Linked DNA regions of Xenopus tropicalis. The protein of the gene in region 1 purifies or fractionates together with the protein of each later gene. This does not show direct contact. Links are inferred from orthologs where the notes say so. Each region holds a gene or a part of one and is shown on either strand. Other genes may lie near its edges.

The links.
Region 2: the proteins of ptpn9 (region 1) and lztr1 purify together in Homo sapiens (affinity purification with mass spectrometry; 3 studies listed by BioGRID and IntAct, with this or other methods). This does not show direct contact. The link is inferred for Xenopus tropicalis from reciprocal best matches to the Homo sapiens genes PTPN9 and LZTR1.

The regions. Positions count from the first base shown.
Region 1 is NC_030679.2:93,340,405-93,344,993, reverse strand, and holds the start of ptpn9 (tyrosine-protein phosphatase non-receptor type 9), read right to left. Parts: upstream 3,015-4,589; 5' UTR 2,973-3,014; coding exon 2,940-2,972; intron 2,498-2,939; coding exon 2,354-2,497; intron 1,145-2,353; coding exon 1,055-1,144; intron 299-1,054; coding exon 162-298; intron 1-161. UniProt on the Homo sapiens protein: Protein-tyrosine phosphatase that could participate in the transfer of hydrophobic ligands or in functions of the Golgi apparatus.
Region 2 is NC_030677.2:166,685,573-166,689,394, reverse strand, and holds part of lztr1 (leucine-zipper-like transcriptional regulator 1), read left to right. Parts: intron 1-1,056; coding exon 1,057-1,196; intron 1,197-1,396; coding exon 1,397-1,598; intron 1,599-2,090; coding exon 2,091-2,201; intron 2,202-2,366; coding exon 2,367-2,459; intron 2,460-3,822. UniProt on the Homo sapiens protein: Substrate-specific adapter of a BCR (BTB-CUL3-RBX1) E3 ubiquitin-protein ligase complex that mediates ubiquitination of Ras (K-Ras/KRAS, N-Ras/NRAS and H-Ras/HRAS).

The DNA.
Region 1 (4,589 bases):
CCCAGTATCAGTGTAAAGAGTGCAAAGAAGCAATATGCTGCAGGTTAAATGTCTGTGAAATATGTACTTTCCCCTTCATCTACCAGTTCCCTCCTGCTCCAGTACTGACACTGCACACACACCTACCCCAAAACACCACATTCAGGTTTCTAGGCTCTCACCTCTCCACAGCTCTGTCCAGTAGATAAAAGAGAGCTTGAAGTACAGTGTGTTGTGCTTGCCTGCTGTTTCTGCGGGCTGGATGGTGTAGTTTAGCGGTGAAGATTGCAATGGAGGCTCCAGTTGGGGCTCTGACACTCTGGAACAAAACAGTGGATGACCAGTCACATGCACTTTGACCTATCCCTAAAGCTCATTATTCCAGGACTTTAATCCATGACCCCTGCCCTCCCAATGATTAGTTCAGTATGCTGTCAATAGATTCAATTTGATGGAATGAAGCACTGCTTCCTGCTACAATTATAAGACTGCCATTTATGTGAGTTCATCTGTAAAATATATATGACACTTACATATATCACTTCCACTCATCCTGTGCCTAGGATTATTTGTTATTAAAATACACAAGAAACTTGAACATCTTGTAAATTATATAATAATAAATGGTGCTTAGTTATGTCATCAATTAAAAGTGGTGTTTAGCGAAGTTGTGTCACATGACTCAGTTAATCATCTGTATTATAAGAAATAAAGTACCCCCAGTTGTAACATCTGAGCATAGAATAAGTTGCCTTTAGGTAGTTGAGAAACTCCTTGGTGTGTTCTATTATCCTTAGCTTTTTACAGTGAAAGGTTCTTTGTCCATGTATTTTTGTCATCCCTTAGACTGTAAGCTCTATGGAACTTCTTCCTCCTGTCTCTTTGATACTTGGCTCCTAATCATTAATGTAACTGTATTCTGTAGTTAATTTCTGTTTGTTCCATGAATTTATTGTTCTGCTGTACAGTGCTGTGTACATAAGCAGCACTATATAAATAAATATATACATGCAAACAACTGGTTATTACTTTATAAGCATTAAATAGAACAACCTTCTGACACCTAACCTCTCACCAGCACAGTAAACTTGCCACTCAGCAACTCAGAAAGTAATGGCTCTTGTAAAGGATTCAGCCGCACTATCCCTTCTCTGTGTCGGGTTTCCTGGAACACAAACATAACATTTATGTTATACAGTGACAGAAAATAAAGGTGATACAGACAGGAGACCAGGAACTTATAATAACAGATAATAATTATATAATGTTGATAAATATATAGTAATGTTGATATATAGTAGGTGCTGTGGGTACCGCCCACTCAAACATTTGTGGGAAAAAATAGCTGGCTGGCCTAGCTGGATCAGCTGGTTCTTTTCTAGAATTAAATTATATGCTTCTACGTTTCTATATGCTTTCTAAACAGATATTTTGAAGTTATATAATGACAGACAGGTACAATGGGCAGGATTGCAATGCAGAATGCTAAGGGGTGCACAAACACAAGATTTTGTGGGACGCTGCAGAATCTCATCCAGTTTGCTGTACTGTTATCTCATCAGATACAATAAGATGCTTTCTTTTTTTTATGCAGCTACAGCCAACAATCAATGTATATCAATGAGAAATAACTTAATCTTGTCAGATAAAAATGCAGGCAGGTGTGTCAGTTCAGTTGTGTCAAATGCCAAAATATTCAAGCACTTTACCAGTCTGTTTAGCTACATTATTGTTGGGCAAGTGCAGCTACATCCCATTTCTAGGATTTAATCTGCAATTAAGTCTCTTGTGGAGTTCAGATCTAGATGTGTTTGGGTTACTGTCTTATAAACGGGGGTCCTAAGTGCTCTTGAGCTACAGCTTCTAGTACCCTCTTACTCCTTTTATTTATCAGCAGGATGTTGGGAGTTGTATTCCAAAACAAGCAAATATTACATCTCTTTCCCTAGATGAAGCCATTGTTAGACCCTAAGATAAGAAAATACCTATTGTACAAAGGTTTCTCAGTGGACCACTAATTTGTTTTAATTGTGCTTGCAGATTTTGCCCTGATTACTATGAATATAATACATATATTCTGATAAAAACAATAAGCAAAACATAAGGTTACCACAAGCCCTGCGGATTTTAATAGCCCTCTAAAGAGCCCCCAAGACCTCAATAGTATGACATCATCATTTTAATATAACCTGGCCCTTAAACAGGCAGTGTTACAAACTGGCCCATTACATGCAAAGAGCTGGCCCCGGCCTTTGTGGCCTTGCCACAAATCTGGGCCTGAGAGCTGCTCCACTGGAAGACAGGGAAAAGCTTGAATGAAGGACATAGAAAGATGGCAGTTACTGTGAAATGCTAATCTGCACACATATCTCACTCTGTATGAGTGGAAGAGTTCAACTGCTCGCACAACATCAAACTTTCTCGCCATCAGAAATTTAACAGCGATGTCCCATGAGAGAGGCGACACGGAGTGGCAGCTTGTCCACAAATTCATCTCCTGCAGGAACCTGTTAGTAGCCTAAGAGGAATCAGAGACATATGGGTATTAATAGACACAAGTAAAACAGAAATCGGCCTATGGGAACAGGGTAGTGAAGGAAAAGGGGATCTTAAAAGGGAGATAATGAAAAAAGCAAACAGGGGGAATGCAAACATTTTTAAGGAGGGAAAAAATTAACAGTTTATCTGAAATGTTGCTCTATAATTTATATGTGCACACATACACACTCATATTTATACTACAAAAAAGACCAGATGCGTGTATGTATACACACACACACACGTGTATATATTTATATATATATATATATACATATATACACTCACATAAACACTTATGTCTTATGCCTGATTTCATGGCACTACATATACAGAATAATTGTGACAATAAACAAGACTAGAAGTCGCTCTTCATCTCACTATATGCAGGACTAATCACCCGCACACAGGGACTGCTTTACCTGCTCCTCCTCCTGTGTCAGAGTCCCTGCCATGCTTGCTTCCTTCCTTTTCCACAATTCCCAGGCCTTGCTCCAGACAGAGGATCCTGCAAGGCCTATGTTTTAGTGAATCGTCTTTTTTTGTCTGCTGTACCCGGATTCAGCAAAGAGGAAGTCACGCCAGGCAGGGTATAACAGATCTTTAAAAAAAAAAAAAAAAATCCTAAATTGTTTGGGGCCTCATTTAGGGGATAATATATCTGTGGGGTGGGGAAGAAGGAAACAGACGTGAAAACACAGACAGTAAAAGGAAAAGAAGCAGTCTGTAAGGCTGTAAAAGAGAGTAACAGGCACCCTCTAGTGGCTTGCATAATTATTACAACATGGTTTAAAGTGACACCAAATGGAAAGTCTTATAGATGATCTCTATATTAGCAAGAGGCCATGCTCTGCAGTTATTAGCTTTGCCTTGCTCAAGCAGTTTCTCTCTTTCCCATATGGTTAATTTGTCCATGTGCTAAATCAGGGGTCCTCAAATTTTTTTAACATGGGGCCAGTTCATGGTCCCTCAGACTGTTGGGGGGGGCCGGACTGTAGTCCTCAAACTACGCCTCCTGCGTCCTCAAACTATGGCCCACTCCCTGCTGCATCCTCCAGCTCCCTGCTCCTCTGCTCCCCGCTGTGTCCTCTGGCTTCCTGCTCCCCACTGCGTCCTCCGGCTCCCAGTTCCCCGCTGCATCCTCCAGCTCCCTGTTCACCCACTTCCCGCTGCGTCCTCCAGCTCCCTGCTCCTCTGCTCCCCGCTGTGTCCTCTGGCTTCCTGCTCCCCACTGCATCCTCCGGCTCCCAGTTCCCTGCTGCATCCTCCAGCTCCCTGTTCACCCACTTCCCGCTGCGTCCTCCAGCTCCCTGCTCCCCCCACTGCGCCCTCCGGCTCCCTGCTCCCCCACTCCCCACTGCGCCATCCGACTCCCTGCTGTGCCCTCCAGCTCCCTGCTCCCCCGCTGTGCTCTCTGGCTCCCCGCTGTGCCCTCCAGCTTCCTGCTCCCCCACTGCGCCATCTGACTCCCTGCTGTGCCCTCCAGCTCCCTGCTCCCCCGCTGTGCCCTCTGGCTCCCCGCTGTGCCCTCCAGCTTCCTGCTCCCCCACTGCGCCATCTGACTCCCTGCTGTGCCCTCCTGCTCCCTGCTCCCCACTGCTTCTGCAGACAGGTAGTAGCCAGGGGTGAGAAAGGCAGCAGGGGCCGGGTAAATTAACTTGGGGCTGGATCTGGCCCGCGAGCCGTAGGTTGAGGATCCCTGTGCTAAATTTTTAAATGTGTTTTTCAGTCAGAGTTTATATCTGATTAAATGCATTGTAATTAAATATATTCTAAAGGAAGCATCCATAGTTATTTTATGCACAAAGAATCACTGAGCTGCTGAAAAGAAAAAGATAGCCTCTTTTTTTTTTAAAAAAAAGATGAAGAGTTGCCTATGGCAGGATTTTCATCAACTTCATAGTAGAGTGAATACTTTGTTGCAAAGCTTTCTCCACAGGGTACCCAAGAAGGTCCAATTTTGAATGCATTGAAAATGTCTTCTTATTCTTGTGATCTTGTGACAGGGGTACTTTGGCAGCTGGGCAACATTCCTGGAAGCAGGACTTGCACCAGCCTCGTTATGGACCTGG
Region 2 (3,822 bases), on another chromosome or scaffold:
CTAGGCTCGATCAATTGTGGTTTGCAGGATAGGTCAGTTATTGGTGCAGGGTAGAATAGCTTTTTTACTCAAAAAAGTTTAGTGTTACTTTTCCTTTAACCTTTGTACTAACCCACACTTTTTTTTTCTTTTTATCTGAAAAATAGATGGATTTTAATGTAGGCTTGGGGAGGCTTATAAGTCCTTTGTTAATTTACCTAAACTTGTCTGCAATATAATGCTGTACAAGGGATGTGAGGAAGGTTGCAGATTAAAATCTTACATCAGCATGGCATTAGCAGGGCTCTGTGCGGAAAGGAGGGTTGAGATGTGAAGGGGGTGCAAGAGTACGGCAATAACAAGCCTCAATATACTCCACCTTTAGGCCAAGTTCAATCTTACTTAGTCCCCGGTCATACTCTGTTTCTTTTCCCTGTCTTCCTTCCTAGTGTAAAATTAGCCCACACGGAGCTGAAATGACTGAGGGAAAGCATTGCAGAGAGCAGGAGAAGTTTTGGAGTATAACTTATTAATAAAACAAGCATATAGATATTCATTTATATAAAGCTTGTCTTTATATTCACATGTTATATGTGAGCTGTAGATTTGTTTGCAAAGTTTTACATAGCTGTAATAGATTTTTATGAAACTATCTAAAAAGATCCAGTGCAGGTAAACAGGTAAAAAACATTTGTCTGTATGAGGCCTTAGTCTAGTGTGGTGATTGTTATTGCATATTAACATTTTTAGCCTTCCTGAACAAAAAAATCACTATCCGCCTATGGCAGGCATGTGATCGAATTAGCTAGAGACTCCATGTGGGCTCTGCTCTACCACTATTTAAAACCATGCATGTTCATTTAAATAAAAATGTTACAAAAAATGAGTATAAAATGTATAAATGCATACTTTTTCACTATTAAACATTTAACTGCTGTTACTGGACTGAAGGGTATTCCAAAAGCTGACAAATCTGACCACTCCTATGGTACAAAATGTCTGTGAAAAGTAAGATAGAGTATCAATGTATAGAAAAATCTATCTGAACGCATTTAAAATGTGCTTTGTTCTTTGCAGATTGAGCAAAGTGGAGAAATCCCACCATCTTGCTGCAACTTTCCCGTTGCTGTGTGCAGAGACAAAATGTTTGTCTTTTCTGGGCAGAGTGGGGCCAAGATCACAAATAACCTGTTCCAGTTTGAATTCTCAGAAAAAGTGTAAGGCAATGCTTTTGTTTTGTTTTGTCTTTTGTTAGTACTTCGCACTTGTTTATTTTCCATCTCAACCCTAAGTCCTAATTTAAACTGAACTTCACATTGGCTCTCTAGGTAATTCTGTAGTGTTTGATTTGCTTATGACTTATCATCAAAGCTGACAATAATGAATACAAATGCGTGATTATATTTTTGTCCTTCAGATGGACACGCATTCCAACTGAGCATTTGTTACGTGGGTCACCACCACCCCCCCAGAGACGTTATGGACACACTATGGTGGCTTTTGACCGTCATCTTTATGTGTTTGGAGGTGCAGCAGACAATACCTTGCCTAATGAGCTGCATTGTTATGATGTGGACTCTCAGTCGTGGGAGGTGATCCAAGCCAGCCCAGACAGTGAGGTGATGTACAGTACATGGACTCTTGTGACATTATATTATATATATATATATAATTATATATATATTTATAATGCTATAATAATATATTATATTATAGCATTATATTGATAGGCTACAGTTGTATACTCTGTCCCTAACATGACAAAATGGCTGCCTTATACACTTCAGCCATTCAGTGGCTTGCATATAGCACTGCAAAGAAAATGCACACAATTGGCTGTTAGATTTAATGAAAAAAAGCAGATATGGTGAGTAAGAGAAGAGGAGTGAGATATATGCTTTACGTCTTTTTCACTCTCTGACATTGTGACAAACATATACTTCAGTGTAGATATGATGGTGTTCATAATAGTTATATATGATGTTAGTGTATGTCTATAAGTGTTGAAATGCAGAGAAATGTGTCACAAAGTTATTAATTTCTATCATGCTAAACACAATAAAAAGTTAGTATGTCATCTAGATGCTAAAAAATGTTTTAATGCATTTTAGTTACCTAGCGGACGTCTGTTTCATGCTGCAGCTGTTATTGCTGATGCCATGTACATCTTTGGTGGGACAGTTGACAATAATGTCAGGAGTGGAGAGATGTACCGCTTTCAGGTAAACACTTTTATAATATCTGTATATCATTTATGCTTTCATGCTTATAGGCCTTATATGGGACTGGGGAGGTTAACGTCAGTGAATATGAAATGGACAAGCTAAAAATAAAAAAAATACAGTCATGCAAAATATCCATTCTAATCCATTTTTATTCCCACCTAGTTCTCTTGTTACCCAAAGTGCACTTTACATGAAGATTACGGAAGACTGTTTGAGAATCAGCAGTTCTGTGATGTTGAATTTATTCTCGGAGAAGTGAGTACCTGCACCTTGATCTCCCTACATGGATCTTCTTAAAGGAACAGTAACACCAAAAAAATGAAAGAGCTTTAAAGTAATAAAAATATAATGCACTGTTGCCCTGCACTGGTAAAACTGGTGTATTTGCTACAGTAACACTACTATAAGTTATATAATAAGCTGCTGTGTAGCCATGGGGGCAGCCATTCAGGCTGGAAAAAAGGAGAAAAGGCACAGGTTACATAGCAAATAACAGATAAGTTCTGTAGAATATAATAGTGTTTTATCTGTTATCTGCTATGTGCCTGTGCCTTTTCTCCTTAGAATGGCTGCCTCCATGGCTACATATCAGCTTATTTATATAAATTATAGTAGACTTTCTGAAGTAAACACACAACTTTTACCAGTGCAGGGCAGCAGCACATTATATTTTAGTTACTTTTATACACTTTCATTTTTTGGTATTACTGTTCCTTTAAAAGAGAAGGAAAGGCTAATCTCAAGCTACAGGCATACCTTCAGTTCTCTCAATAGTGCCCTTAAGTCTCCCCATATTTCACCTGTTCAGATGATCAGAAGCATCATAGGAAAAAAAAACCTCTAAGCTCTGTAAAGAAAATTTCCCATAATGCCACGCTCCTGCACCAAGACCCCTGTAAATGCGCCGTTTGTACGACTATGAGAAAGTTTCCTGCTGATTGGCTCAGATCACACATTCCTAAGGGGTGGAGGGAGTTCTTAGCATTCTTGTGGGAGGGGGGAGCAGGAGAGAGCTGAACAGACTCTGGCACAGAAAAAAAGGATACAAGAACTCCTATGTTTCTTTTGATAGAGGACTCAGTGCAGCATTCTCTGAGTGCTTATGGCTGTGTTTACATAGATAGTTTTTACCTTTCCTTCTCCTTTAAAAAAACAATTCATTCATGCATGCTCACTGATTCAGTATGAATGGCATCTTGTATGATTCATGCCCATATATAGGTATTTATTTGCTATTTCCCAGCCAGATGACAGTGTCCTATAAAGAGGTCTGTAGAGCCCATAGCTTGTAGCACCCTAGGCCATTACATAAAATTACACTATGTAATGTTTGGAACTTTGCCGTTTCATATACACCGTATCCCAGCATAAATGATAAGCTTGCAAGATGATGAAACAAAAATAGCATTAGATCTATAAACATTTTCTTTTAATGGTACCATGCTTCCAGCGGACTTCTCCTTAACACTTGCAGAAAGTTCAGCTAATGGCTGGGCTTGTGTCTATTTCATATGAGTAAAGGCAATTATTGAAAATGTATTGGACAATAATATGTCTGATGTTTCAAACATAATTAATGGCATACCATATGACTATTTCAATATAAGGACTTTAGCTA